Drosophila melanogaster: one gene and its partners. The protein of the gene in region 1 interacts with the protein of each later gene in a pairwise test. Each region holds a gene or a part of one and is shown in the gene's direction. Other genes may lie near its edges.

Region 1 (7,700 bases):
GCCCCGATGTTCTGGTCATATTTTAAAGTGGTGTCTTGGGAAAGCACCCAATACATATAATTATGGCTCATCATAATTCTGGCAAAGAGGAAATGCGATTCATCTAGATATATTTCTTAGCATCAAAGTACTTAGACATAATCTCTTCTCTTGTTATTAAAGCTACTTTAACTTAATGACAATTCCTAAAAGTTATTGCCATAACATTCCTCTTCTAATAGGTCTTAGGAAATATACTATAGAAACATGACAATAGCAATAATATCTGTAAGTCCATTTAATTGAGTAATAGAAACTAGTTCCAGCTGGAAAAACTAAATTAGTTTAAAGATGAAGCCCCCTTAGATGAAACGCCCCCTTGTTAAGATGTCGCTATATTTGCGTACGACAATCCGTGGCATAAGATATGCCACACTGATCAGCTCCACAGACGATTGACCCATTGCACAATCGTCAAAACGAAGGCGGGTCCAGTGGGAGGATCCACCAACCACGCCCACCGCCCAACTAACCGTGAACGTTTCGATGGATCCATGCGAACCAAACGATCCGCAGATGTTATATGAGCTAGTGGACAAAGCTTCCTGGACGCAGTTTTCTTTCGATCGGCCGCCAATGGAGAACCTGCAAGTGCTGCGATTGCTCCTCGGATTAATCGGTTTAGTCCTGATCTCGAGATCGGTGGATAGTAGGCCGGGTGGAATGGAATTTCAGTCGCACTATTTGCAGGCCATTACCGCCTACCGAAGGCTAGAGAGGATCCTTCCCAAGGATGAGCTGCGCGCTTTAACGGGCATTGGATTATTGAATGGAGCCCGCCAGGCGGAAGAGCAAATGGAACAGCATTTGGTGGAAGCCGTCAGGGAGCTGCTGTTCCAAATGAATCTTACGGAGAGCGGGCGTGTAATGTCCAAAATCGATGCCATCGAACAGCAGTTGTCCAGGGATCAGAGGGCGCTGGAAATACTCAATCGGGTGATGGATGTGGTGTCCCAGGCCAAGGATGATCATGAGTTCCGAGTGGAGTTAAGGGAAATGGCTCAGGAGCAAAAGGAGGAAGAGCTGTACAATCAGGAACTCTCCGCCGATCTCACGGATCAGCCAAAATTGGGCGAGAGATTGGGAAAACTGAGACGGAATATCATCAAGCAGGTGCCACAAATGAAAAACGAACTGGAGGCCAAGATTGACAAGGCTCTGCAGCATTTATTGGAACAGGCTGGAGAGGATGGAGTGTTGGCCAAGGCCAAGCAAAAGGTGATCCACAAAAGGCAAATCAAGAATGGAACAAAGCAGAGGAAACAGGAGAATCGGAACAACCAGGAGGAGGCGGAGCAACGACAAATTCCGGAGGAAATGAGGATTATAAAGTCCATACTTTCTGAGGTAGTACTAGAGAAATTATTCACAATTCCTTAAAAATCACATACATTAATTCAAAAGTGGTTTTTGAATATAAAAATGATTAACCTTTTAAGTTTAAGCTAAAAATGCATGTCTTTAGTATGGAACGCTTGATTTTTTTTAACGCCAGGCTCATGACTTGCGCTTCCAGGAAGATTTCCTGGAAAATATGTTGGATCAGCCGCCGCCGAGGCGAATTAAAATAGAACCCAACTCTTCGGAACTCGATGATCTGGATATAAACGTAAAGGTGAGCAAAGGACCCATGTTTAACCCTTTGTGACTAACCCAATGACCGCTAATTGATGATGACCTAACCCAACATTGACTTGGTTCACCTAACCCTTTGTCCCACGGCCTTTTGAAGTCGCCAAATGTTACAGCCAAAGGTAAACCGAAAATGAAAGCAAAGCCGGAGAAACAGGTGGAGGCGGAGGGCACAGGCTCCTCGTCGGAATTGGCCACGGATGACAACGATGACCTGGGCGATGGGGATGAGCCCGGTGATGGCGGAGACGGAGCAGGTGGTGGAGGAGGCGGTGGCGGTCTGGTTGGCATCATTAGCAGCCTGAGCGGTGTAAGTGGAAGGCTAAGAAACCCATAAATATTTATTTAAAATGGATTTATTTAGGGTGAAGGTGGTTCCGATGTGGGTGCCTTAATTGGTGCCCTTACCGGTGTGATATCCACTTTATTTGGAGTAAGTATTGAAGTTTTCCAATCAATCAAGGGTATTTAAATAGAAAAACTATCTTTTAGCCTGGAGGCCTAGATGTGCAAGGTCTGATTCAAACGGGAACCTCGCTGATCTCTGGTCTTCTGGGCGGGAATAAGAACTTTGGCCTCGTGTTGGGACAATATGTGGGCACTGCTTTGGATGGTCTCTCTGGAGGTGGTGGAGCGGTGGGTTCCTCAAACCTATTTTCATGAATTTCCAGTCATTTTACTTGCATATATTATTTTTTCCAGATTAACAATGGCCAGTTTATAGGCAACTTCTTGGGCACTGTGCTGGCCGCATTGAGCGCTGTATTTATATATTTTGCTTATATATATATTTACCTTCTAGATCCCAACCTCATAACTGTGTTACTAACCCCTGAACGTCATTTATTTAGCGAGTGCAATAAACAACATTCTACAATCTTTAACAGGATCCCGAGGAGGAGGGCCCACCGCAACCATTGACCTTCACCAAGAACCTGATCACCAGCTTCCTGGAGGCAAAGTTTCGACCAATTTCAGAGGACGGCTCAGAGGAGCGACACGGAAGTGCGGAGTTGCCACGCCCGCGAAAGAAGAAGGAGGGCGGTGGATGGGCAGCTGCGGCGGCAAATAACTTTGATTCTGGAGGATTTGTGAAGCAAGTGGCCTCCCATCTGGTGAGCAATGCCCTTGGATTGATTTTGAATGCCGGTCTGGGAGCCGCTGGAGGAGCTTCGAGTGCAGCCAAGAATATTTTCGCCAGCAGCAGCATGGGTCATCATGCCAAGCCGGCAGATCACCATAGATCTTGGAACCCCTACCATAATGAGCCATTCTAGCCAGCTTAGTCATCACATAATCATAGTTACGTTAATCGTTTGTGTTAAACCCATTTTTTTTTTGCTAGTTCGTAACCGAAATAAATAAAGAAGTGAGGAGAAAGACTTGTTGGTCACTTGGGCAGCTAAGAAAGCGTAAAAGAGGGGCTCTAAATCAAGTGGCGTAACAGCTTGGACAGCGGCTGATGCAAGAGATCCGATGGAATTCAGTGGGAGCCACTGCAATGAACCACTCCCCCAAGGATGCGGTGGGGCAAATCACTGGATGGAAACGCAAAAAGCGAAAGCTCGCAATGAGCGGAAGTAAAAACTAAGTAAAGGTTGAGGGGTGAAATAGCTTGTTTGGGTTCATTTCCTCAAACTAAAGTTCAGTGGAAGGTAGAACAGGGGAATGAACTACGGATTTCGGCTCAGGAGTTTCGCTTCAAAAATTAGTTTTAAATACATTTGGCAATACCTTAATTAACTAATATTTAAATTAAAAAGATAGAATTAATATATATTTTGTAACCCAATAGCCTAATAGCGAATATTTTTGGATCTTCTTGACCCAAGAGTTTTCCCTGAACCTTTCTCCGTGGGCCAACTACTTGGTAGCTTGCCCAATGGAGCGGGCATTGTGTCACTTTCTACTGATTACAGGTTTCATTAAAATGCTTTTACTTGTTTACTTCTGGTGCTTTCTCTGACTCTCTCGCTCTCTCTCTTCCGCCTGCTCTCTCTCTCTCTCTCTCATTCTGTCTTTCTCTTTTTTTTTTTTGAAGTGGGCTGAATATTTTTTTAGCGGCGAGTTTCAGTTTTCAGTTATGCGTGAATCTTTCACAAGACAAAGTGACATTTTGCGGGCCGTTTAGTTGTCGCGTTTTTAATTTGAAAAACTTCAGGTTGTGTTTATTGTTTTGTGTTTTTCTTGTGCGCTCAGTGTTTGTGCTGGTTTATTTGCATTTTGAAATTGTTTATGAACTCAATTATATATTTGGGTGCTTCGGAGAGTTCGCATTGCAATTAAGTTTGGCAAGCCGCATTTTTATTTTATTATATTTCGGGTGAGTATGTATATAAGGCGGCTGAAAGCCGAAAAAAAGGGAAATAAGCGACAATCCCAGCTCAAAATGTATGTCAAAACGAAAGACTTAGGCAACGAACTTGCTAACTGGGCTAAGCCTCAACTGAAAATGCTGGCATAGGTCAGGTCTGTTCCAAAAACAAACAACACTACGGGGGGCTATTAATGGAGGGGGTTATTGAAGAGGGGGGGGGCGCTATTGGTTAGCGTTCGTCCATTAATCGCTTTGGCTACCGAAATTTGGCAACAGCGCCGACGTCAACAATGCAAAAGTGAAGATTCAAATGCGTTAATTGCTTCATAAATCAATTAACAAGAGCCTAACCAATCGTAAGCCGAAAAAAGGGAGAGTTTTATTGTTCTCCTATGACTTACGCTTTGTGTTCAGTGTCATATTTGATTGTTGATTATATTAAGCTATATGGATGGTGTCCAACATTTACTGGTTGACGTGCTACTTAAAATGCTATATAAATTACAAATTTTACATACATTTTAAAAAGGTTTTTTGTTTTTATAGGGAAGTGATTTGAGGGAACTTTCCTTTTTACTCTATTTCATTCGCATTTCATTTGAATTTTCGGGGTTAACTACCTGGTAACCTACTACTCATATTCGGCCTGACCCCTGGTCGCTGTCATGATTGAGGATGAACCAGAGTCAGAGCTAAAAAGACACTCAAAAATTAAAAAAAAAAACAAAAAAAATCACCAACTTGTCTGGGCCATGCAAGAGTGGCCTGGCCCAAAGAAACCGGTAACGGTCTCAAGGTCGTTCGTCGAATCGATGGCTCTGGCCAGATAAGCCTTAGCCCAAGATACAGCAGCCAGTTTAGCCATCAACGCGCTTTGGGCCAAAAGCTAAAAGCTATCAGCCATCAACTCTAAGGCATAAGCAATAACAAAACTCAGTGATGATAGCTGGGCCAAAATAAAAAATAAATAAATAAAATCGAAAACGAGGAAAAAAGCGAAAGTGAACGCCATGAAAGTGGAGCAGTCGAGCTGGAAATCCGCCGAAGGCAAACCGGCGGGGGGGGGGGGGTTGCGTCTCTTCATAAACAAAAAGATATATATGCAGGTGTCATATCTAAGTCGGTCAATAAGTTTATTGACCAGGCGACGCTCCAAATTGTGCGGTTGTTTCGGGAGAGTTATGCAAATCGATTGTGGCAACCCGATATCGAAAAGCGTAGAAACTTATGGCCGTTAAACAATGCACCCTTTTATATTTTTCGGGCCGATTAATATGCAAATCTCGAAATTTCTTATCCACCACTCGATATGTTGTGGCTTTATGTTTCAATTATGAGCGTTAAAGTCCGTATCGCAGATCTTGTATTATACGAATTTTCACACATTTTTTATGATGATATTTTTCCTGGGCAGTAAATTATAAGTTGATGCGGGTCTGGGCGAATGACTGTTTATGTTATTACCGGAGTGTTTTTGCCTATTATAAAATATGTTTAATACTCTTGAGTTTTATTTGCTTGGCAATTTCATAAGCCTTTGGCATTTTCGTTTAGCTTAGAAGTGATTTCCAATTTACGCCTCATTTAACAGCACTAAGTTCTGCACGGCAATTAAGCAAAGTGATCAGATTTGAAATGCCTTTCAAAATATCTAATGCCAAAATGATATTATTACGGGGCGACCTTCGCCGGCCGCCAGTGGCGAGATTTATTAATACTATAATTACAATAATGGCTGAACAAACAAATAAACGCTACATGACAGCAGAATCTGAATCTCCGGCAACCTTTGCGCAAAATCAAACGAATCATTTTTGCCTGGCCAAGAACAAAGTTCGTTTGTCCGATTCTAATACTAATTCTCAGACTGAGTTTTCAGTGAATGGTGGTCAGTTATTTAGTCTGTCGGCAACGCCTTTTCCAATTAAATTCGACCCGGCTATTGGGTACAAAGCAAAAGCACTCGATGCGAAAGATTGGCTTACAAACGGTCTTAATATAAACCGAATTAACTTTATTTTTCCATTAGAGTATTACACATGTGGTGCAAATCTTCGTGGGATTTGCTAAGTTAATTGCAACTTTTTAGAGATTGTCTACACACAACAACTAAAAGTCATTTGAACGTATCTCTTAAAACAAAAATATCAATTCTTTGGCAAGACGTTCTATTGCTTAGTGATTGGTTTTAAAGATATATGGTACCTCTTTTTTTTATATCTTGCCTATACCTGGCACATATTTATTTTGGCATATTTTAGATATTTATTAATAAGTAATCCCAGTCTTAAAAACATTTCCTTGGTCAAATGTCAAATGTACTGGCCGTAAAACACTTGCGCAAAGCCATCAGCAGTTCATTAGAGGCCCATTGCTGCGGCGGAGTTGAATACATTAGATGGAAATGGATGCGGAATCGAGTGCTGGCTTCTCCTCCATCTGGTTAACGAGCCGCACTCTCGGTCCAAATGAATTGGTTAATGGGTAATGGTTATGACCGTCTTCCCAACTTGCGGCGTGTAAACGGTTACTCGTTAAGCAAGGGGGTGCCCAATAGACCTGTTACCCGTTTCACTATATCTATTTTCCATTTTAATTTTATTATTAATTTTTTTTTCTCTGTTTTTCCTGCGTGCACTTAGCGGAGTCATTGTGGCCAGAACAGCGATGAGCAGGTGACATTAATGCCATGGCCCAAAACTGAGCAAAACCACACAAAAAAAAAAGAAAGAAAAAATAGCAGCCAGCGCATAATGCATAATGACAACCGTTGCATAACCCCCCCGCCAGTTGGGCAATGCCAAATTATGCCCCGACATGTTGGCGAAGGGTATTATGCTATATGCTATATGGCGTATGCTATATAGCCATTTCCAGAGAACAAGTTGCCACTGGTTAGTACGGATTTAATGCGTCTGCCCCACTATTTCGGCCCCTGACATTTTCGACGCGACAACTAAAGTTTAGAAACACAAAAAAAAAAAAAAAAAAACACAACACAAACTGACAATTGTAACCAAAAGGCGAAACTGGAAATGCAATGAAGATCTGGTTGTAGTGAATAAAGTCACTAGGGTTCAGGGGGCAAGGATTTGGGGCGCTTTTGGGGTCTTGGCCAGGCCAAAACGGCATGTTTTCTGCCAGATTGCTTTGAATAAAAACCAAGACACATAGCGCCTGTCTTTTTGCTAACATTTTTTTTTCTGGTTTTCTGTTGTCGGTTTTCTGTCATAAACATTATGACACGCGCTGCAACGCTGATGGACAGTTTGACAGATTGACTCACTGACAAACTGACGAAGTGGCGGGGCTGGCCAGCAATTATAGCGTTCTAATTGAGGCGCCTCAACGGCAACAAGCTGCAATTGAATTTTCATGGATAATTTGCTAATTGAGCTGCCAAATTAGGCAGAACAACTGGCCGGATCTTTTGACATGCAGATCTCTAGTGATTGTTATTTAATTGAAAACATGAAAGCCACACAAAAGCTTTAGGTAAATGAAGTATTTTAAATATAATTATACTTCTTTAAATATACATATATACATAATACAATGCACTTATTGTAGGCTTCCGAAACGAATCTTTTTGGTACAATCATTTAATTTCAGCAAATTATTTTATTTCATGTGTCCAATACAGTAGCTGTTCACTCGTTAAACTCATAACCCTACTAAAATGGGTCAGAATGTGGCTTTTGTTTTCGGAAAA
Region 2 (6,121 bases), 590 kb from region 1:
TCTGCTGCACCAGTGTGGTGGTGATGGCATCAAGGCCACTTTTGGATGGGGTCCAATGCACCATCGCCACCCATCCAACCATTCACCCAGCCACGCCCCCTTTTCGGACGAAGGTGTTTCAATGGAAACGCAACGGAAAACAACGAAATGCAAAAGACAACAACAGCTGCGCTCTCATCGCCTTGATTACCGGAAGTTTTGCCATAAAATCGCACTAGAGACCATGACAGAATCATAAAAAAAAAAAAATGAGAAGATATAGTCCCAAAGATCCACCCCCTCGATTTGCCGGCAACATCATCATCGTTGTTAATGGCTATCGTTTAAACACGCCTGATTGATGTGTTTTTTATGAGTGTCAAGCTACTCGAGTCGATTGAATGATGCGAATTGCGCCAATACATCAATATATCGCACATTTCAATGCATTCATGCACAGATAAAGTTCACTTCATACATCGGCCGCTAATAACTCATCAATTAATGCTTAAGTATGCTGTTATTAAAAAAGCTGGATGATTTTTTAAAAACCAATAGCCAATAGTTCTGATGCCATGGAACGATGCATTTTTCCAGAAAAGTCAATACCTCGATTTTTTGACAAATTATAATTCGATTTTTTTTTAGCTGTGTCGCATTCTTTCAAAATTATCATATATTTGACATTTTTGTATTTTGTTTTTTAGTAACCATTCATTCGTCGCTCCTATAAACTGGAAAAATTTTTATCCGTATCATAATTCCCGATACTCTTGGCACTTGGCAAGGCCATTTACACATGGCTTCTCTGATTGCTGTTTGTTATGTGCGGTTTTCTGTTGGCCTACCCAGTAAATTAGAGAATAAACAAAAAGTGTCGGTGTCCCATGCCGCATGCCGCATACCGCATACCTAATATCGCGTATACGTCATAGGTACCGACCATAAAAAGTAACCATGCATGGAGCTGAAAAAGCAGAGTGGACCGTAAATAATGCACCGGCGATTTATCAGCTAGAAGAGACAGTTTCAGTTTCAGTTGCAGTTTCAGTTTCAGTTGCATTCATCGGACTCTCGTCTTTGTGGGGAAAAAAAACCAAAGCTACAACGACTATTCAAATGCCATTTCGTAATGCTGTTAAAGTCAGAGTTGCGCAAAAAAATCAAGAAAAATCGATGCCTTTAAAAAAATACTAAAAGTATACGTGGGCTGAAAGAACTTAAAAACTATATTTCTTTTGTAATGAGTATATATATATATGCAAAATGCCTATTTTCTGCTAAAAACTGTTTCTAGAATTTTTAGAAAATCTCTAGAGATAAAATGAGAAAAACAGAGTCCAAAAAGGGTCTGCCCGTAGTTTAGCATTACTTTTTGGTGCAGTCTGGTTTTTTTTTTTTTTTTTTTTTTTTAAACCCAATCCACGAAATGTTTGTTGGCTTAGCCCCGTTAAGCCTCACACTAATTACACTTGCGCTTTTCACAGATCCACACACATAAACTCTGCTCACATGACTACCAAATTTTTCTTAGCCAGTACCGCAAAAAACTCCAACATATTTTCATTTTCATGGTCAAAGTGTCAGTTGAATGGGTGGTTTTTTTTTTTTTTTTTTTTTTTTGGGTGGCTAAACCAGACCAAGGGAATGGACAAATGAATGAAAAATTGTAAATGCGAGTTAGGACCCGTGCAAAATATGCAAATGAAAGCTGCTGTCTCCCGTATTCATTTCCTTTACTCGTCTTATTTTTTGTTTTATCTTTTGCTGGCATACCCAAAAGTTGAGCCCGCAAATCTTGATTTAATTTCCGGCTATTAAGCTGGAAGGGAAAATTCTGGGCTGGCGCATAGTTGTGGGCACAAAAAGGGAAAGTAGTGAAGCAGCTCATTAGGATCACAAAAGGAGTCACGTATTCGGTATGGTTTGTTCCTTTTTTTTTTCTAGGATGCTTGTAATGAATTGGGCACATAAGACTAGTGAAACCTATTCATATTTTAGTTAAAACTACATCTAAATTTACCAACTAATGTTTGAAATAAGATAATCCTTATCTAGCATAATCCTTATCTTCAGTGCAATAATGGCGCAAGGAAATTCATGTTTTCAGAGGCTTTAATCCATTCAGCCGCAATTCCACGCCTTGCACCTCGGCCACGCAGGACCCATTTATTCCCGGGCTTTATGACTCTGCCAATGAATGGATACACAGGCACAGGATGTGTCCTGGCCAAGGACCCTTTTGACCCCACCTTTGCCGGCCACTCTATTATTTATTTATAGAAAGTTGGCAGACTCACGCCAAAGGGGCTAAGAATTTGGTCCTTTGCTGCTTGGCCGCCTTCATTCTGTGACAAATGAATTTGGGTCAGAAGTTGTGCAAATTAAAAAAAAAAAAAAAAAAAAAAAACCGAAGAGAGAAGAGAAGAGAAGCTTGGTCATTTGGCGGGTGTCAAAGTTCCTTCAAACAGGACCGGAAGATTCGTCTCGCCTTTGACTCGCCTGAGCGACATTCAACTGGTTTTCAAGTGCTGAACCGAATTGCAGTTTTATTTCCATTCACGTAGCTCCACACACGGAATGTGCTCCTTTCCCAAAATAACAAAGAAGTAAAGAATGGTTGTCGGCGGCTGTAGCGACTAACTAACTACCCATTGACGTACTACCACAATTAAACGCTTTCTTTGTGTCTACTTTGTGTCTTTTACAAACAAATAACAAACACAATTCTGTAATTAGCTAATGAGCAGTTATATTATTTTGATTGTACACTACACGTATACAATATCCCAATATGCTCCACAAAAAAAGAGGGGTGCAAAGGGCACGTTAAAAAAAGGGGACACCAAAAATGTTACAAAAGATTTACACCATCCAAAACCTCAACGCCATCTCCGCATCCGCAATCGACGCCTCCTTCTTTCTGCTTGTGGGCAATACCATTACTTTTTCAGTTTGCTGGTTTGAGTAATGGATTAGATTTTTACTCACTTGTTTTGGGTTTCCGTGCTACCGCTATTGGTTGGATAGTGTATTCGTTTTTTATAGCACGCCGCCCACACCCCCCAAAAAAAAAAAGGATAACACCGCCGTTGATGAAGGGATGCTAGTGGGAAACTAAAAAGAACCCACAACTCTTGTCTCACCTAAAAACTTTAGTTCATGGTTTTGAAAAAAAAGAAAAAAAAAAAGGCGAAAGATTCTTAAAGTTGGCCTTTTCTTTTCATGTAAAATTCTTTTGTCCTCGTAGTAGGCCCATAATTTTAAATCGATTAGACTTATTCGAAAAGTCCTAAGGTACACACGTGTTTGTTGTGAGTACGAAATCCAAATCGATATCTTGGTAGTTTAATAATTAACAAACGTAATTTTGAATAGTTCTGCGATAATGTTTACTACACTGATGTATCGAACTGCAGCGGTCTCGATGACCGTCTACATAACCAATCGAGTTGGAGTTTGGGGTAAGACAGAGGAGACGGACCACCTGCTCGATCAGATCACCAATGGTCTTCAACCAGTATTTGGACTTCTGCGACGAACGCTGAAGTTAGATGAGAGCGATCTGAGCGTGGGTGAGCTATCCCGGAAATACTACAATGAAGGAGTGAAGGGCACTTTTCGTATCATTCGAAACATACCCAACTATTCGGAGGAATTGGCCGACGGTGCCAAGGTCACCTGTCTGGATTTGGTGGAAAAGGCCAAGGAATTGCGTCACAAAGAATATTCAAAATGGTGGAATACTTCCACAAATAAGGAGCAACTGATTATTGATTCACCAGATTCTGCAGCTGGCGATGGATCTTTCGAGGATTTAGTCCCATTTGAGAAACCAAAGACCGTAGATAATTTTGCGGGGGAAGAGGGAAATGGAGCTCTTGAACAGAGGGTTTAAACAACTGTCTATAAACAAGAAAAATCAGCCTTACTCTCTACAAAATCTTATTGTTAAATCTTTGAGTAAAGACCATGTATCATGTTAGAATCCCCAATACTCTGCAATAGGCCAATAAATATTTTAGATTGCCAAAGAATTCGCCTTTCGAATCATTACTCTAACCAAACAATTTGTTGAAAAATTATTAATCCAATTGGAATTAGCTGTAGAGCAGCAATAATCGTACTTATCAAAATTTTCCTCATTTTTTTCCTCAACTGTTTCTTCGCCCAGACACTCGGTAAACAGTGAGAATTGTCAACAGTCTATTAAAATGCCAGTCGAGCCGCATTGCCAACCGAAGTCAAGCCGTGCGAAAAAGGATTTTCCAACCCCATTCCCGGGAAAAGGAAAAGCTGAAGCCAAGCGAGCCAAACCAAATCAATCCAACCCTTTTTCCCATTTCCTTTATCCAGTTGTTTTGCGTGTTGCTTAACATGCGTTTTAATGTGACCCTTGCGGGTGCATAAAAAATTTAGTTTTTTTTTCACCTATGAAAATCCATTTTCTCTGGAATTTTCTTTATGGTTTGGATACCTGTTACTTGTAGCATTATATTGGTTTTTTTTTTGGTTACATCTACAATTAATATAAGAGACAAAATATCAAATTTAAAGTATCTTTATGCATCCACATTATCCGGCATTTTTATTGAATATTTTTGAAATAAAAACTAAACGCCCTTTTTCACCAACTTCGATTGGTTTTCCTTCTTTATTGTTGAATTGTAAACAGGTGGGTGGGTCATAAAAACGGGGACTACAGATGTTGGAGGGTTAGTAAATCCCTTCTTCAAGCCGAGCGAAATAAACTTTATGAACAGCCCTAGGCAATTGGCACTTTGAAAATATCTAGAAACGAGCGGTTGATTGAAAAACTAGCTTAAATTTTAATTAGTTCTAGCTTATTTACATACATTTAATTAGAAGTTCGCTATGTTCTTACCTGGGGACTCACTTCAAATTAGCCATTTTTAGCTGCCACTTAAAGTCATAAATTCAACATCGCCGAATTCTCGCCCCACCAACCAAGCAGTATTTAAAGTATATCCATTGCATTGTTGTCCAAAGCATAATCCGCGTTGTATCTATTTACATATTTATCTGCGTTTTGCGGGATTCATTGCTGTGACTCCTGATGGAGGATGCCGAAAAAGGTTGTGGAGCTGAAAAAAAGGATACCGCGGATAGGGAGGATGTGTAAGGATGGGATGAGGGCTACGTGCCGCGTCTTTTGGCTGACTCTTTAACCGCTTATGCCTTAGATTTATAGTCACGGATTTTATTTATGTCACTTTACTCATCCTCACCGCTGGCACCATTTTTCTTTGCGGTTTAGCATACAAAACGTCTGGTCCTCGTTTTCTGGTCGTATCCCTTTTATGCTGCCACATTCTATTTCCATGCTGCTCTTCTAAATGTTGCATAAAATCAATTTCCTTAAGTTCAAGTCCTTGATGATGAGGTAAAAGTGTTGTAAGTTTATGCTGCTCGAAAGCGTGGGCTGTGCAGCTTTGCACTGAGCAAAAATAAAGAGCTATTACGAGTTATTAATATGAAATCATGTGTGCGGATGCCCCAGAGCTAGTTATAATTACTAGTTTTGAAATGGGAAATCCACCAAATCAGTGAAAATGTATATTGTTTGGATTGAAAACGCTTAGTAAATATATTAAACGATATTTTCTCTCAGTGTGTCTGCAGAGTGCGAATGTTAGTCGGTACTTGGCGCTGTTGTCGGCACAGCTGGCGTTGAAGTTCCTGGGGATTTTAGGGGTTAGGGTTTGATGTTTGGTGTTTGGGAGCTAGTGGGGTCATGGGGGGGGGGCGCAAAAGTCGACGTGGGCGAAGCTGGGGTGGCACATTTGGCGCCCAGCCGTGCGCTGTCTTGCATATTTAAGTTGGCCGAGCAGCCCCTTTGTCTTTTGGGGGGGGGGGGGGGGGGTGTCTGGGGGTCTAGCATACCGTCCCATCCCCACCCACGTCCGGTTGCTCCAATGTTTCCGTTTGGCTGTCTTCCCCGCCTCACCTGAATGGCATCGTAAAACCAGGTTCATTAGCAGTCGCGCTGGAGGAGTCCGCCGCTTGCCACATTTTCCATATATTCATTTGGCCACTGCATTCATTTCCGTTCACTTTCAATTGCGTCCGTCTGAAGTCGTTTATTAATGAACCGACTTGATGCCGGATCCTTTTTCCCGGA
Region 3 (10,545 bases), on another chromosome or scaffold:
TTCCGGAGGTGCGCCGCGGCAATTTGTGTGCTCCTGCTTCTGGTTGGGATACTCTGTAGGGGTTTTTTTCGCAATTCAATTCGGAAAATAATTGCTGCGAAACAGAGCTCTGTGCTTCTTCTTCTTCTTCGTTTTGCCCCTTCTTCTTCTACCTTCTGACAGATGTGTTTGCCATTCGATTGCTAGCAATCGCCTGTGAATGCCAAAAATTAATCGAGTGCCCAGGGGGCGCGCGAGTGTAAGTGGGTGTGGCCACGTCAAGTCAGCAAAGTAAACACATTTAAAAAATAAATAAAATAGTCCACTTTTCAAGCTAGAGAGCAACAAATTCGGCCTACTGCGCTTAGGGCATTCGATAATTCAGAGCCATTCGATAGACAGAGATGCCTATCGAGTAATCGATTACAGGAATGTCAACAAAGTGGAAATAAAATGAATATTTTACCAAAAAAACGGTAAGTTTTATACTGATTCTAAAGATACCTCTCATCAATTCACGTGTATTTCTTAGCTGGCATGTGCGTACCAAGGAGAACATTGCCCGCGTGCGCCGGGATCAAGCGGCTGCCGCAGCAGAAGAAAAAGTCCGGCAGGAGAAATTGGAATTTGCTGTGGGTATTGCCCAAATATCGTCAATTTAACATAGTAATGTGTACTTTTATCAAATAGGAAAGCGAGGCACGAATCAACTTCCTGCGCCGCCAATCGGGCTTGCCGGAGAAGGCCTCCAAGGAATCTCGAGAGGAGTCGCAATGCAGTACTGAAACAACCAAAGGGGTGGATCTCTTTGCCGACTACAAGGCGAGAGTGAAGACCACTAACAAAGACTTGGAAAAGGAGCAAAAGGAGGAGCAGGAGAAGTATGAGAAGCAGATCGGCTACCTCACCTACTTGGGCCAGGACACCAATGAAGCTTTGAAAGTGCGCAGCTGGTACGAGTTAGCCCCCAAAAGACCAGAAGTTGGGGATCCCACAGCTACTGAAACTCATCATAAGCAAAAGCTAGCCCACGATCCTCTGACCCTAATTAATGCTTTGTTGCCGCCAGAAAAAAAGGATCCCAAAAAGGCCACAAAAAGAATTCGCGAAAGGACACCCGCGCCTTCTCAGGAACCTTCAATACCCCACAAGGACAAGAAATCCAAGAAAGATAAGAAGAAGCACAAGAGCAAAAATGGTTCAAGGGAGACCCTTTTGGCCGAGGAACGCATAAAACGAGAAAAGCTCGAGACGCTAAGAAGGGAGCGCATGCGACGGGAAACAGCGGAACGCCAGCGTTCCGAGGCTCTGTTCGCACCCAAGGAGCTGCCGGTGGCTGCCAGTGCCGAATCCACGCCGGCTTCGACGCCTAAGGTTGTCCAAAAGTACAACAGTCAGTTTAATCCGGAGTTAGCAAAGCAAAATATGCTCTAGCCATTAATTATGTTTTCAACTTAATGTTAACAGCCTGATTATGAATATAATCACTAAGCAAATAAATAGAAATTACACTTTATTATTGAATTGTCTAAAAAAATACTCTTTGTTTAAATATAAAAATGATTATCGTCAAATATTTGTACTTTTATAAATACATACATATGTATAAACACATCGCTTTAATATCCAGTTATTCAACCGTTACAAGAAGTCTTGGCGGTTTGGTCATGGTTTAAATTTAGATTTCGCGATAATTCCGCTTAAATGATATCGGCTACTTTATCGGTGCCGAAACAGGCCAATGCTGCACAGCGTCTAAATCGGACGAACTATTAAGTGATTTTGCACTTAAAATAAGAAGATAGAAACCTAATTTCGAATAAAATTTAATTTAAGATAATTCATCAGTTGAAGGTGATATTAGGCTATCGACACATTGAATTTAGCCCCGAAACTATACTAGTTTGAATTCTAACGGCCGCCACACAAATGCTCAACAGCCGGCTGCAGTGTTAGAGAACGTCGCAGTTTGCGGCACATGTGAAAATCACTTTTTGGCTCGGCGTCTTGGCGTCTTCGTTTCTATTTCTTTGTTATAATTTGCATGCGGGTTCGAAACTCTCTTGATTTCAATTAATTGTTGTGTGCGAAAAACAAAAGAGCCGGGCCAAATGGATGATAATACGGAGAACACAGATGGAAAGCGCGGTGAGTGAATCTAAGCGTGCTGTGCTGAAAAAGCAACGGGACAAGTAAACCGGCGCTCCAAAGTCAGCCATTAACGGGGGGCTCCTATCTCAAGCAGGTCGCCTTTGCATTCGATCGAATAAAATTTATTCTTACACATTATTCATTTTTTCGTTTATCCGTTTAATCCAATAAATATGGTAGTGACCCGGGCTAGAACTCGTCGCTTGTCCCTTCTGGAAACGGACAGTCGTCCGAGCACTCCGCAGTTGGATACGGTTGCGGAACTCGGTAAGTTGTGGCCCAACTCGGATCCCGGTTGTTTCAAGTCTAAGAATATTATTTCTCGCTTCAAAAGGTACCGCTTCGCCACGTGCCACACGTCGCACACGTCTGAACTCGTCCACTTTAGATGTGAGGACTCCAACACGAACCAGGCGCGCATCCTTGGCACGCGGTGAAACTCCCGAGCCGACGACGCCCTCTTCCGTGAAAAGGACAGCTCGCACGCCAGCTAAAAACACCAGATCTGTGCGCCAACAGCTTACACTAACAGAGGAACCTGAGGAAAATGAGGTCAAGCAGGAAAAGCCCAGCCCCAGTCCAAGCCCTGTGCCCAAAGAGGGCAAGGGAAAGGCACAGCGGAAGCCCAGTGTCAGTCCGAGTCCAGGGCGAACACTCACACCCAATCAGCAGAGTGATGAGAAACGAGTGACGCGTTCAATGTCTCAGACTCCACCAATGCCCACTCGTTCGTCCAGTAATACGCCTCGTGATCTTAACGATTCACCCAAAGTTGAGCAAAAAGCTAAACCCAATATTAAAACCACTCCCAAAGTGGCAGTCAGGCTCGAGAAACTTTCAATGGACAAATTCTCTGGCAAGAAGATGGAAAAGGCGAAGCCATTGATTGTACCGGATGAACTCAAGGATAATGGAGTTGTTGAGGAGCAAAATAAATCTATCACTGAAGCCCATTCACAGGCACCAGAAACACACGAATCAGCCCAACCTGACAAGGATGCTGGCAAACAATCATTCCTGAAGTCATTTACTACACTTTCGAAAATTCAAGGTTCAAGTAAAGCTCTTCACCCTGATGAGAGCGCAGATACAATTACAAAAATAACTCCAACCTCGACATCCAAGAAAATTGAAGAAAACATGGATGATGTGTTTGAAACACTACGCGTCGAGTCCCCCAAAGTTGAAAGAAAAATCGAGACTCTGCAGAAAGTCCATACTGTTGGCACTCCTGAAATTAAAGAAAAAGACGAGCCCGTTGGGGTAGACAATGAAATTAAAACGAAAACCGAAACTCCCCAGAAGATTGAACCCCCTATAATTGAAAGCAAAGTAGAAACTCAGCAACTGATTGATCATCCTCAAATAGAAAAGAAAAGAGATACTCCACAAAACGTTTCTACTGTTGACTTAATGGACACAAGCCCAGAAAAAGATGAGTCCATGGAGGACCAAGAGTTTTTGGATGCAGAAGATTCGATTGTTCAGTTAGAGCCACAAACCGATGAGCCAGTAGAGAAACCAAAAGAACTGGAGTTTGTAGACCTCGACGACGATGAGCCGGTATTTCCGTCGGAAGCTCCAAAATATGTCGAAGACAGTAAGGAAGTACACCCAGATGATTCAATGGATGATGACAAGCAAAACAAAATCGATGTTACCGAGGTTATACATCTGCCCAGCATAAGAGCTCGTGCTGTGCGTTCTCCTGCTGTGGAGCAAAAAAAATCGGTGGACTTCAACAACGACACTGATGACTTAGAGGTAGAAAAGAAACGGTTTCCCAAGACTCCAGGACGTGAGAAGGTGCCAGTTTGTCGCATTCTAACCCCCAAGCCGGAGACGCCCTTAAAACTGGCTCTGCAAAAGGGTCGTAATAGTTCCACACCAATATTAAAAGATCAGGAACGTGGCCTGTCCAACAGCACGGAGGAATTGCATCCAGCACCTCCTCAAATTGATGCTATCAAGCCATTCGATGAGCTGGAATCAAAGAATGCTAAGGATGAGATGGTGGAACAATCACCCATGTCAAAGCAAAAGGCTGAGAATAAAATCCTGGCTCGTCTAGAAAGCTTTGAGGAAGATGTTGAAGACCACGGGAATGAAGAAGAAAACGAGGAGGAGCACGAAGAAGACAAATCCATTTCCGAATTTGTGGACCTAGAAGCTGAAGATGCTGGGAAAGATTACATGTCTGGAGATTCGATGGACAGTTCGCTTCGCCGGGAAATGGAGGAGAATGAAATTCCAATCGATGGGGAGTCCGTTGGCAGTAAAGATACTGAGGAGTCTACCCCAGAAGAATCTGATGGCGACGATTCGTTTATTGTATCGGACAACGAAGACGAGGAAGATTTAGGACAGCTTTGCTACTCCTCTGGCGAGGATGAAATTGAAGACGCTGAAGAATCTGAACAAGCTGAGAGGTCTAGCGTGAAACGTCGCCGCATTATTATTGCGAGCCCCAGTGATGAAGAACATGATGGAAAAGTTCAGAGCAATGACGACTCAAGTGAGAACAAAACAGAGAAGCCCAAAAACCAAAGTAACTGCTCATCCAATGCCAGTAAATTGAGCGAAGCGGCCCAACTGTTAAACGTCAGTGAGGAAAAATCTTCCATCTCGGAAACCGAGCTGGAAAGATCTCGCCAAGTCGCTCTCAACGAACTGAACAAATCGGAGCGGTTTAACAAGACAGAAACGCAACTCGATATCAGCGTCATGGAGGTAGACTCCTCGGATCACGACGAGGAGGAGAAGACAGAGAAGGTTGGAGCCAAGAACAACAGAAGCCTGTACGAAATCGTGGATTCTGATGACGGGGAAGAGCAAGATCAAGACCAAAGTGATGCAGATAAACCAGCTGAAAGCGAAAACCATTCCGAAATTAAAAAATCTACATCTTTCATGGACCAAATGTCTGGAGCCAAAGGCAACAAAAGCGTATACGAAATAATGGATTCTTATGAAACTGAAGACCCTAAGGAGGCTGGTAAAAACGAGGAGTCTGATAAGGACAAACCGGCCGAAAACGGGAAGTCTGATAAAGACAAACAAGCCGAAACCGAGATGTCTGATGAAGATAAACCATCTGAAATCAAAAGCCCTTCCACAATCAAAAAATCCATAATTTCAACTGCGGATGAAGAAGCTCTGCTCGCCGAATTGGCCTCTAGTGATCTAAGCCATTTGGAAAAAATGTTTAACCCTCTACAGAAATCCCGCCGCCAGTCCTTACATGTCCCCAGTCCCGAGCTGGCAGCCAAGAATCCCAAACTGAGACGCCGTAGTGAACGGGTTGAAGTTGGCAATGACTTCTGCCCCTCGCAGTCCTTTGTTGACATGGTGGCCGAGAAAAAGAGGCAGAAAAACAAGCGCAAGCGCCTGTCGAAAAGCCTATCAGGCGCACCAGAGGATCTTGAGGAAATGGAGATTAAGCACGAGCGCAAGCGCCTTAAGAGCTCACATGGTGCTTCCACGGATTCAATGGAGGAGGACAACGAAAACGAAACAATGACTGTCGCCGAGGAACATCACAGCGACGGGGAAGTCTCGAATGGTGAAGTTCCTATTGAAGAAAAGCCCACTACTTCATCTGAGAAACCATCTGCGTCGGAATTACCTGAAGAAGAAGAAACTGTCGCCGTTGAGGAGCTTCTCATGGAGAAGCCGAAAACTTGCGATTCACCGCGATCCGAGGAAAGACCGACAGAAATTGTGACTTCAAAACCGAAGGGTATGGCGCCGGTCAAGGTGGAGAAGACTGCCGAATATTACTTGGCATACTGTCACAACCTCCTGGAAGCTGCCAACGAGGCTAAGTTAAAGGAAAAGAAAGAGGTCAGTTTCTTAAATAAAAAATCTCCTTTACGATTCACACTAAATTCGCTTATATTTTATAGCATCTTGCCAGCGGAGCAAAGCAAAAGAAGCCAAAGCGAATTGCTGCGCAAGCGCCATCCAAGCTCCTGGGCACCATCGGCTCAGAATCGGAAACCAACACAGCGAAATCGTCCAAGCAGCCACCGGCGCTGAAGAAGGATGTAAAGCGCCTACAGGCAGCGCGCCAGGCTGTGAGTCATGCTGTTAATCTTCTGGCGCCACCAAAAGCCACCGAAGCAGAGGTAAGCGTTAGTTAGTCGCCTACAAATAATAAGAGTATAACCAAAAGTCCTTGCTCCTCCGCAGCCACGCACGCTCTCGCGCAAATTGTCGCCACAGCCGCCAGTGGTGGACAAGAAATCAGCCAAACAGAAGAAGGGGAAGAAGAAGCAAAAGCCCCAGGAGGCATCACCGCTAAAGAGTTCCGATGAGGAGAACCACGGCCATCGTATTCGAACAAATGCTGGCTACGTGACGGTGGTCGATGAGCCGCCCACTAAAGTTCCCAAAATCGAGCTGATTAAGACAAGTTCGGGCATGGTTCGAGTTGAGCCGTGCACACCCAAACAGAAGTATTTCCGCGAGCTGCCGCCCACACCGAAAATGCATGGGTTCCGCGAGGAGCCAGGACCCTCCGGGATGTCAAGGAAGCGGGCCAAGCACGCAGCACCAAAGGTCGAACACAATTCCGCCAAACAGGCGGCGCTGCGCTTCAAGGAGCAGATCTTTGCTCGCAGATCTTAGGATACATTACATTTAGAGAAAAATTAGTGGAAATGTTAAGTGTACACAATGCATACTTCAGTTTTTGTTTCTTTTCATTAGCATTTCCCCGATTGAATTTGATTCTATTATTTGTTCTATTGGTTATTTGTTACGCAAGCCCTTGCTCTTTGCCATATATTATTATTTTGTTCAATTGCACATCACTTAACCACACTTAACGCTAGCAAGTTGGTTGTTGATCCAATCAAGATATGAAATCAATTAAGAAATTTTCGAACTTGTCCCCTTTTTTTTTGAGCATCTGAGAAACAGAAAATAAAGCCTACCCATACAAATACAAAATGAAGGAGGAAACTTTTTATTACGGGTCCGAACATTCGGGGACAATTCTCTGGAAAAGTAGGCTGGCGGTTGCCTGTCCGTCATGTTGCACAAAACTTTTCATATTTTTTCACATATGGCTCACCATTTCGCAATGCGAACAATTTGTAAGTAAAATGCTATTCTATTCTCAAGATTTAGTATCCTATTTCGATTTTTGCTTTTAGTCAATGCAAAAATTGGCGATGCAGCCTACATCCAGGATGAACTGTCTTCGTCGCTATCCTCTTCTGTGGCCAGCAAATTCAAAGAATTTTCGAAGCGCAAACGCATTTCGGACAGTTTCTCGGATCTTTCAGAAGAACTTGAGAGAATAGGTTTGCGACAGATGAGGAAACGCATTAAGTTGGAGAAATCGTTCGAAAGAACTCCCAAAAAGAAGGTCCAGACCAAGAAGCATTTACCACCGGTTCGGAAGAAGGATAGCGTGAAACGTCGCCGCATTATTATAGCGAGCCCCAGTGATGAAGAACATGATGGAAAAGTTCAGACCAATGACGACTCAAGTGAGAACAAAACAGAGAAGCCCAAAAACCAAAGTAACTGCTCATCCAATGCCAGTAAATTGAGCGAAGCGGCCCAACTGTTAAACGTCAGTGAGGAAAAATCTTCCATCTCGGAAACCGAGCTGGAAAGATCTCGCCAAGTCGCTCTCAACGAACTGAACAAATCGGAGCGGTTTAACAAGACAGAAACGCAACTCGATATCAGCGTCATGGAGGTAGACTCCTCGGATCACGACGAGGAGGAGAAGACAGAGAAGGTTGGAGCCAAGAACAACAGAAGCCTGTACGAAATCGTGGATTCTGATGACGAGGAAGAGCAAGATCAAGACCAAAGTGATGCAGCTAAACCAGCTGAAAGCGAAAACCATTCCGAAATTAAAAAATCTACATCTTTCATGGACCAAATGTCTGGAGCCAAAGGCAACAAAAGCGTATACGAAATAATGGATTCTTATGAAACTGAAGACCCTAAGGAGGCTGGTAAAAACGAGGAGTCTGATAAGGACAAACCGGCCGAAAACGGGAAGTCTGATAAAGACAAACAAGCCGAAACCGAGATGTCTGATGAAGATAAACCATCTGAAATCAAAAGCCCTTCCACAATCAAAAAATCCATAATTTCAACTGCGGATGAAGAAGCTCTGCTCGCCGAATTGGCCTCTAGTGATCTAAGCCATTTGGAAAAAATGTTTAACCCTCTACAGAAATCCCGCCGCCAGTCCTTACATGTCCCCAGTCCCGAGCTGGCAGCCAAGAATCCCAAACTGAGACGCCGTAGTGAACGGGTTGAAGTTGGCAATGACTTCTGCCCCTCGCAGTCCTTTGTTGACATGGTGGCCGAGAAAAAGAGGCAGAAAAACAAGCGCAAGCGCCTGTCGAAAAGCCTATCAGGCGCACCAGAGGATCTTGAGGAAATGGAGATTAAGCACGAGCGCAAGCGCCTTAAGAGCTCACATGGTGCTTCCACGGATTCAATGGAGGAGGACAACGAAAACGAAACAATGACTGTCGCCGAGGAACATCACAGCGACGGGGAAGTCTCGAATGGTGAAGTTCCTATTGAAGAAAAGCCCACTACTTCATCTGAGAAACCATCTGCGTCGGAATTACCTGAAGAAGGTAATTCAGCGCCACCGGCGCTGAAGAAGGATGTAAAGCGCCTACAGGCAGCGCGCCAGGCTGTGAGTCATGCTGTTAATCTTCTGGCGCCACCAAAAGCCACCGAAGCAGAGGTAAGCGTTAGTTAGTCGCCTACAAATAATAAGAGTATAACCAAAAGTCCTTGCTCCTCCGCAGCCACGTACGCTCTCGCGCAAATTGTCGCCACAGCCGCCAGTGGTGGACAAGAAATCAGCCAAACAGAAGAAGAAGGGGAAGAAGAAGCAAAAGCCCCAGGAGGCATCACCGCTAAAGAGTTCCGATGAGGAGAACCACGGCCATCGTATTCGAACAAATGCTGGCTACGTGACGGTGGTCGATGAGCCGCCCACTAAAGTTCCCATAATCGAGCTGATTAAGACAAGTTCGGGCATGGTTCGAGTTGAGCCGTGCACACCCAAACAGAAGTATTTCCGCGAGCTGCCGCCCACACCGAAAATGCATGGGTTCCGCGAGGAGCCAGGACCCTCCGGGATGTCAAGGAAGCGGGCCAAGCACGCAGCACCAAAGGTCGAACACAATTCCGCCAAACAGGCGGCGCTGCGCTTCAAGGAGCAGATCTTTGCTCGCAGATCTTAGGATACATTACATTTAGAGAAAAATTAGTGGAAATGTTAAGTGTACACAATGCATACTTCAGTTTTTGTTTCTTTTCATTAGCATTTCCCCGATTGAATTTGATTCTATTATTTGTTCTATTGGTTATTTGTTACGCAAGCCCTTGCTCTTTGCCATATATTATTATTTTGTTCAATTGCACATCACTTAACCACACTTAACGCTAGCAAGTTGGTTGTTGATCCAATCAAGATATGAAATCAATTAAGAAATTTTCGAACTTGTCCCATTTTTTTTTTGAGCATCTGAGAAATAGAAAATAAAGCCTACCCATACAAATACAAAATGAAGGAGGAAACTTTTTATTAGGGGTCCGAACATTCGGGGACAATTCTCTGGAAAAGTAGGCTGGCGGTTGCCTGTCCGTCATGTTGCACAAAACTTTTCATATTTTTTCACATATGGCTCACCATTTCGCAATGCGAACAATTTGTAAGTAAAATGCTATTCTATTCTCAAGATTTAGTATCCTATTTCGATTTTTGCTTTTAGTCAATGCAAAAATTGGCGATGCAGCCTACATCCAGGATGAACTGTCTTCGTCGCTATCCTCTTCTGTGGCCAGCAAATTCAAAGAATTTTCGAAGCGCAAACGCATTTCGGACAGTTTCTCGGATCTTTCAGAAGAACTTGAGAGAATAGGTTTGCGACAGATGAGGAAACGCATTAAGTTGGAGAAATCGTTCGAAAGAACACCCAAAAAGAAGGTCCAGACCAAGAAGCATTTACCACCGGTTCGGAAGAAGGATACATCTGGAAATCGTGGCTCATTTGGCTTGCGACAAATGAGGAAGCGCGTTAAGTTGGAGGACACCGACGAGAAGTCTTACAAAAGATCTCCCAAAATGAAGGTCATATCAATGAAGCAGTCACCTCTGAAGGGACCGGCTCCAATCATATTGCGTAAAAAGTTTGGAATCTACGTAGCTAGTGTTTGGACTAGTGCTGGCTACGTCTTGGTGATCCGGGAACCGTCTGCAGTTGAAACAACCAATAGCAGTTCGGTCAGTTGGCTTGGGGAGCAGTAATTTTACCACAATATGAATACTGAATATTTAGTCTGTATTATATATATAGTAAAATTGTTGTTTTATTTATGAGTCGAACTAATGTCCCGTCAGTTGACTAAGGACAACGCCAA
Region 4 (7,570 bases), on another chromosome or scaffold:
AATAAAAAACATTTAATATTGTTGGCAGAAATCTAAATTCTAAATCTACTTACTTCTATTTAATATACTTTATAATCTGCTATTTATTTTTGTTAAATTTAAATTAAGGTTAACAACTCTAACTTAAGCTAGAAACCCTTTACGTGTTTAACCTTGGGCCTCTTAGCTGGCGGGGCACAGGGATAGTCCTCGATGATAGTATTCTGGCCGGGCAGCAAGATAGAATACTCGCGGCCAAATTCAACAGGCGATTCCTTTTTGGGACTCAAAAGGCGCTCTCCGATGTCCTGATCGGAATTAAGGGCTGGAATGACTGAATAGTTCGCTGTAGTGGCGCCATATAGCTTTGGTAGACTTGTACCGGGAACCATGTCGGGATTTCCCTCGGTCACCTCGTCCTCAGTGGGTACCACTGTCTGACTGGGCAATTGTTCCAACCAATTGGCCATGCGTTGTTCAGGTTCCAGCTCCTTCCCCTTTATACGCTCATCGAACATTTCTCTTGTTACGTCTCGTGTGGTGTCGTACTCCTCCATATCCCACACGTCCAGCAAACGGGTCGACATCATGTCCGTGTAGTGGGACAGCTTGTAAGCGGATTTCTGCCAGGGACCGCGACTGATGCTCTTCTGCTTTTTAACATTTCTCTTACTGGCAGCTTTCCTTTTGGGTTGCCGTTTTGGTTTCACCTTGGTTTTTTTCTTAGGCGTTTTCTTACCACCTTTCTTGGATTCCGAAGGTTCTTCCTTTACCTTTTCAGAGGCTGGGCTTTCATCTTCTGAAACATCAGTATCTTCTATGCCATAGTCAATTTCGATTTCCTCTACGATTAAAGGTTTTTCTTCAGGTTTTGATCTTTTGGCACCATCTCGAAAGATGTCTCTTATCTCTGGTATCGACTGGACTTGTGTGCAGCGGATGTTCTCGCGTTGGACGCGCTCATTAACGGCATTGGCAAGGTAGCGAATGGCTTCCGTTGTATGAGTTCCGGTTCTGATCTGCTGGACATGCTCCTCTTCATCCCTAAGCGTTAGTCTTTGGCAGTAAACATCTCCCAAGCTGTTGGAGGTTAGCAACTGGGTAAAAGCTTGATCACTGGCCCCCTCTAAGCCAATAAAGCGCATTCCTGTAATGCAGGTCGTTACCCGCTCTGCTATATCAGCATAGACATCCACAAATCCTCCCAAGCGAGCATCTATTAAAGCTTCTTCCAGGGTTACCGGCGCAAATGGTATTGCCGGCGAGAACATTTCATCGACACTTTTTGCCTGAGCTCCTTGCAGTTCACAAATTCGCAAATCTTTGGGTAAGAGTCCACCTAACGCAATATATTCACTGTCCTGGTGAACGCTTGTGTCAATAAAACAGGGTGGATAGGTCATCTGATGCGTCCAGGTGACGACAGCTCGATCGGTCAGCTTTTTACCCAAGCATCTGATATCCAAACAGTGGAAGTTGTGATTACTAGCCACATACAAGAGATTAGGATTCACACCCTTGGCCAAACAAGAGAACCTCTCGCAAGCTTTTGAGTGAACGCCGCTGGCAAAGCAGGGATTCAGAGGCAGATTGCATCGCACATCTACGGTAAACAAAACTGGCTGTGTTAGGCAGTGAAAGGTGCTTTCCTCTGCTTGCTTTAACTGTGCCCAGGTACTCGAGGTTTTCTTCAGTCCTTTTAGCAAGCAAACATCAAGCTTGGCTATATCCTGTTGTGTCGAAATATCCACGAAGCGCAAAGACCTATCCTGGCTAGCTAAGGCCAATGTATTGGCATTGGCCAATGATTGTGCAGCGCTTGTAAAAGGAGCTACTTGACTGCTAAACATGCAATGGCGAATGAGTTCGTAATCTGAATCCGAATCCTGTTCGTCTTTGCATTTAAGTTCGTATAGGGAAACCTCCTTCAGCAACCGTGCCAGGAACATTTGACTGCGATTTAAATTGTGGAGCGGAAGAAGTTCAAAGACTTCGCTGGAGGATTCCTCTATCGTAGCCGAATGCAATGGTTGCCAAAACTCCGCCTCACCATAATCTCGGGAAAAGTGCAAATCTCTGAGCTTATTACCGCTGACATGCATGGCCAGCTGATCGTTTCCATCAAACGGAATCGTGTTTAGGTTTCCGCCTGTGTAGTAGTAATCGTAGCTGTCCCTGAAGAAGGAATTCTCCTGTTGGGCTATGTGCTCAGCCATCTCAAACAGACTGGCATCGTGTACACCTTGCTCCTGCTTCTGTACACGCTGTCTCATATTTTTAAGTCGCCTATCAAATATAGCCTTGCCTAATTGCAATTGCCGTGTCCAATCGTCGTAGCGGAATGGCCTTTGGACGCATGCCTCCACTCGGGGAGTTTGTCCATCCTTTGCCAGGAAGAGGGGTAGCGGCACCGTAACCGAGCAATTTGGCAAGTCCTGCTTCGGATTATCCTGATGATCGTACAAGAGTTGGCCCAACATTCCAGTGTTCAAGCCGGGATAAGAGAAGTGCGGCGCATTTTCCAAAATGCTGCGCAGATTATCTGGCTCATTGTTATCCTCAGCATCTTGATCCGGCGGAAGATCATCTTCGGAATCGGATTCGTTGTCACTAGTTTTGGTCTTGACCTGGGCACTGTATTTGGCCGAATTGAGAGCTGTTTGATAGCGTCGCGGCATGTCTGTAATTGGAGTATAAATAAGAAATCGGATTTTGCTAGCTGGCCGATGTGTTTTGATGCATGTGAGCCTGGCTTACGGATTTCTTCGATCAGCTATCCAGTTCTGCACGAAAGAATTTAGTTAACAAATTGAATTTGACTCAATCAAACGCCAAACGCACGACGTTTCCTCTGGACGCAAGAAACAGCTGATTAGTGATGGGTATTTATGTCTACCCAACCGCATGCTTGCTGTTATGAGCATTACAAGCAAAATATTCACAATATATTAAAATAATATAGGTTTTGGATTATCTATTACATTACATTGGAAGTGCAAAAATGTAACATTGAAAAAAAAAGCATCGTAAAATACCTTTTTAAAGAAATGTAAAGGTTTTAGACACCAATAATAAGTAACATTTACATTTTTAAGTCAAAAATATTTAAGAATCCGATGTTTTGATAAGCGACGATGTATCGCTGGTCGGCGATACTATTTCTAAAATATCGGCTAGCTCGATAGCACCTATATGAAAACATCGATTCCCGATGCATCGATGTTTCTCCCCATCACTATCAAATTTGCTTTGCGCTGCATCGAGACCGAGAATTAAAGACTTGAAAGCAGCTGGAGAAATTACAAGAAATTGATCCCCGAAAATTACTGGCAATCGCGAACAGCGGGCGTGTGTGTGTGTGTGCGTGCGCGCGAGAGCGAGAGAATAAGTGAATGAAACAGAACGAGCACAGAAATTACACAAGTTGTAAAAGAAAAGGTGAAGAAAAAAGTTGGTCGAGACCGAATATTGATTTTTTCATAGACAGTGCAGTTAAAACAACGGTCTCTTTTTGTTAGCCAAAAAGAAGGCGTTGGTAAAAAGCGGTAGTAGTTTTTATCTCAATTTTGAGGCCTACAAAAGAATAGAAGAAAAAGCAACGGAAAGCGTCAGGTGAGTTTTTTAAATCCAACCACGCACACACCTGCACTCACACCTACACTACCGCACACAACGGGCACAATTAACATACATACAAGTGCCAAACAGACAACAAAACAAATGCCAATTGGAAAGGTGTGAAAGAGAGGGGCGGGTCTGGAAGATAACATTAACCAGTTCTAATCCTACTCCCCTCCCTCTCGCTCCGCTTGCATTTGTTTTGTTGCAGTTATCTATTACTCTTCCCTCTCTCTCTCTCTCTCTCTCTCTCTGTCTTATCCTGTCTCTCTCTCTCTGCGCTCGCCCCCATTAAAAAGAAAAGAAAACACACTGCCTCATCTAAAACTTTTCATTTGCATCCCAGTATCTGTTTTTCAATTAGCACTATTGTATATTTTGCGCACTCTTCTTTTTACTTAGTTAACAGTTAGTTGTTGTATGCACGTTTTTGTCGTTGTTGTTCTTGTTGCTCGCCATATCTGTACTAATTCATCCATTTATGATGTTCGTTTTTATTCGTTATTCGTTTTTTTTTTGTGTATGTTTGGCTTTGGTTTCGTTTGGGTTTTCCTCGCTTTTCCTAACTGCTAATTTTTGACAAAACCCAAATGGCTTCTGGCTCTGACGTAATGGACCCCTGCTGCCCTCCCCTTCGCTCCATTCCGTCTCTCTTCCTCTTTATCGCTCTCCCTCTCTCGGAGCTGGCGCTTTTCCACTCTAAACGACCTCCAGAAAACTTCGCCGCAATCATTTCAGCAGCTGCCACAGTGAAGCCTGTGTGCTGAAAACCAAGTTATGCCAGTAAAAAAAAGTGCGGTTGCATGTTGTCCTGGGATTCTAAATTAGTAGGTTTCCTTGATTCCTACACCTTTTTTCCATATTCTGAATTGCAATTAAGTTAAATAAGAAATTTGACGATCTAGGCAATTCGCAAAAAAACCTCAAATCAACTTCGAGTTGATTTTCTAGACAATAGTCGACCAATTTTCCTAACTAAACAAAGGAAAAGCGAAATGGAATAATGGGGTTGTTCATTAAAAGCGACTTGACTGTTATCTCTAATAGTTGCCCTAATTGGTTTACCTATTGGCAGTGTTTACTGTTCCTGCAGACATTTGTTATTCGCTGTTTTGTGAAATTTTATTGCTTCTAGCGGTTTTTGGGTGTGGAAATGAATGGGTGAGGACTCCACTTTAACGGCTCTACTGTAACCTGTCGGCGCCATCGCCATGGACAGGATTTCGTCTCGTCCTCCTGAGTATCTGAGTCCAGTACATACATGTATGTATACGTATCTATATCTGATGTTTAACTTTCCTGCATGTTTAATGCGTAGGTCAGTTTACTCAGAAGGCAAACACAATAAAAAGTTCGCCGCACAAATTGCTTTTGGCGCCTTGTTGCTGCTCCTGTTGTTGTTCTTGTTGTTGTTGTTGTTGACGCTCTTGTTGGCCACTCAGGTGTTTACCAACTTCCCTGGCACCTTCTCCCTTTTCTGCCCTTGGTCTGCTGCGGCTCTGTTTTTATGTAACTTTCAAATCGATTGCAAACACGTAACAGTAGGGCAACCTGCGCCGCCCCTCATTGCCCCACCGTGCCACGCCCCTAGCCTCCCACCTACCCAACTGATATTCTCCCATATCCTGCAACAACACGCTCTGACGTTGAGCGTGTGATTTGGTTCGTTTCGGCTGTACGATTTTTTTTCCTGCTGGCCTGCGGCTTGACATAGCGTGACATTTCCTGTATGTGATTTGCTGCCGTTGTCGGTGCCCCAGAACCCCTGCCACGCCCCCTACCGATGGGGTATCTTGTCTCTCCGCCCCCCAAAGAACATTTGAATAATTTCTGTTTTGCAAATTTGTACCCCCTCCCACATCGGAGGCGATATCCTTGAAGGACTCGGACAAATTGCAGTCAATACAATAGTTGAGCAAGTATTTTTAGGGGCAGCAGAGAACTTGTTGTTAGCCACCTTCCAAGGAAATCGAACACTGAAAGATCTTACAAAAAACAAGAGCCATTAAACGTATTAAATGATAATTTAACAATGAATTATGTATGTAACTACAGCAGACTTCCTTTAAAATTATCTCTTTTCACGTCTAAGTAGAAAAAGATACATTTAAAGCAAATCAAAAGCTCAAGGATTATGTAAATCACTTTTGTTCTCAGAAGAAAAAAAATCGTAATTATTTAGTCTTCTGAGTCGGTAAATCCGAAGTAGCATTGAATCCCAATCAAGTACACAGTTCAGCAGTAGATTGAGTTCAGATTGCTGTCTTGAGCTTCGGTTTGTTGTTGCCCGTTGACCTGCCAACGGTTGCCGTGGGCGACCTGCCAAATTGTCGATATTCCGTGCGCTCCTTTCGCTCCGGGCCGGAAAAACGGAAAAGCCAGGGCACGTCGTTCGCCTGTCGCCGTCCCACTCTAGCCGATGGCTAATTTCAATGGCTCCACGCTGCTTGCACCTCAAGCTCCTCCTCTGCACTCTTCACGTGCAATCGCAATTATGAATAATTCGCCATAAATGGCACACGCTGGGCTGCAATTATTGGAATTGAAGTGGCCCAGATGCCGCTGATAAATCGCTTGCCACCAATAAGCCTATAGTACATTATACATTACTACATTATATGTACATATATATGTAGAAATATGGCGCTAGGCCCATTATATCATATACCATTTCGTGTGGTCGAGGTGAAAAGTGCAAGCGCAACTTTATCAGCGCCCATAAATCGAGCAGCAAAAGGTCAAAGTTGAGCTAGACTAACAGCTTTTTTAGTGGCGAAGGATGGCCGCGGAATTTGCGAGTGCCCATGTACTTGGCAACTTTAAATGCGGTGTCATTTGTGTTTAGGTTTTCAGACTAGGGCAACAAATCATTGTTGTTTTTGTGTGATTATTCATCAGTTATATGGTTGATAAAACCAGTAATTATGCCATAAAAGTTGGTCATTTTATTTGATCAGCTGAAATCAAGCATGTTCCTTTCAATAACAGTTGATAAAAGAATTGTCTTGTATGATTTCACTGTACTTACTTACTTAACTTAGTTATTTGTTTAACCAAAGATAAGGCTTGATGAGATGTTTCGAAAGATATTGGAGAGTCAAGAATCCAGTTTGAATCGCAGCTACCAAGATAAGATAGCTGGAAACCATAAAAGCGATGCATCGTTCCATTTGGAAGTCACGACTTATGCCATTCTCTTCATTTTACGTCGTGATTTTATGACTAAAGTTTCAATTCGAATGGCTAAATTATGCAGTTACCATTGCAGCTAAATGAGCAATAAAATACTTAAGTCGTTGGCTTTTGAATAATAAAACTCTAGAACAACTCTGGCTCGGCATCCCAAATCATCCGGCTTGTATACATTTTGCTGTATGTTTACCCTGGAGCCACATTCATCATACGCACTGAGGTCCCAGCTCGGAAATGAATTCAAATTGCTTGGCTTGACTGGGTTCTAAAACCTAAGACGCAAAAAATAGTAGCCATAACGAGTTTTGTTTTGTTTATCGTTTGAACTTATACACTTGCCCAGTGACCAACCAGTACATAACATGTATATAATTATCTGTATCTGGAGCTGCGTCATAGCATTTGGAGTGCTTGAAGCGTTTGCATTTGCTTCGTTGCTGTCCGGTGATTATTAGTTGATAAATTCGAGCCGCATGACGCACTTAATCAGTGCAAAAAAAAAAAAAAAAAATACTACACGACGAACGAGAACGGGAGGAGGAAAAGATGTGTGTGGCCTCCCGGGGATGTGTGAAATTTTCATGCCTCCGTTCCACTTTGGCTTCAAGCCAGGGCACGTGGAGAGCAGGCCTCAACCCTTGGCCCAAACTGGGTTAATGTAATGCATATGTGCTACATTGGCGACGTAGGAGATGGGAATGGTTCGGGGGGGTTGCAGCTGCAGCAGTCTCTGTGTGCCCCAATCCCAAACCCAGATCCAAAACCCACATACCCACATCGC

The links.
Region 2: the proteins of CG43386 (region 1) and CG15296 interact in a two-hybrid assay, tested with the Drosophila melanogaster proteins (one large-scale study listed by BioGRID).
Region 3: the proteins of CG43386 (region 1) and sle interact in a two-hybrid assay, tested with the Drosophila melanogaster proteins (one large-scale study listed by BioGRID).
Region 4: the proteins of CG43386 (region 1) and MESK2 interact in a two-hybrid assay, tested with the Drosophila melanogaster proteins (one large-scale study listed by BioGRID).

Annotation. Positions count from the first base shown.
Region 1 is NC_004354.4:9,973,453-9,981,152, reverse strand, and holds the start of CG43386 (uncharacterized protein), read left to right. Parts: upstream 1-3,747; 5' UTR 3,748-3,994; intron 3,995-7,700. Other genes in the region: CG15252 (uncharacterized protein), read left to right, coding at 616-1,386, 1,535-1,654, 1,772-1,981, 2,036-2,104, 2,164-2,307, 2,374-2,433, 2,559-2,948.
Region 2 is NC_004354.4:10,563,735-10,569,855, reverse strand, and holds CG15296 (uncharacterized protein), read left to right. Parts: upstream 1-3,264; 5' UTR 3,265-3,297; intron 3,298-3,357; 5' UTR 3,358-3,367; coding exon 3,368-3,877; 3' UTR 3,878-4,014; downstream 4,015-6,121.
Region 3 is NT_033777.3:10,331,187-10,341,731, forward strand, and holds sle (slender lobes), read left to right. Parts: upstream 1-1,928; 5' UTR 1,929-2,090; coding exon 2,091-2,127; intron 2,128-2,210; exon of another isoform or gene 2,211-2,303; coding exon of another isoform or gene 2,304-2,310; coding exon 2,311-2,397; intron 2,398-2,464; coding exon 2,465-5,973; intron 5,974-6,035; coding exon 6,036-6,257; intron 6,258-6,321; coding exon 6,322-6,759; 3' UTR 6,760-7,079; downstream 7,080-10,545. Other genes in the region: Bruce (BIR repeat containing ubiquitin-conjugating enzyme), read right to left, coding at 1-1; CG12818 (uncharacterized protein), read left to right, coding at 433-455, 512-611, 670-1,413; CG12592 (uncharacterized protein), read left to right, coding at 7,217-7,229, 7,290-8,860, 8,925-9,365; CG18545 (uncharacterized protein), read left to right, coding at 9,773-9,836, 9,897-10,432.
Region 4 is NT_033778.4:21,498,889-21,506,458, forward strand, and holds the start of MESK2 (misexpression suppressor of KSR 2), read left to right. Parts: upstream 1-3,208; 5' UTR 3,209-3,591; intron 3,592-7,258; exon of another isoform or gene 7,259-7,447; intron 7,448-7,570. Other genes in the region: TAF1C-like (TATA box-binding protein-associated factor RNA polymerase I subunit C-like), read right to left, coding at 129-2,657.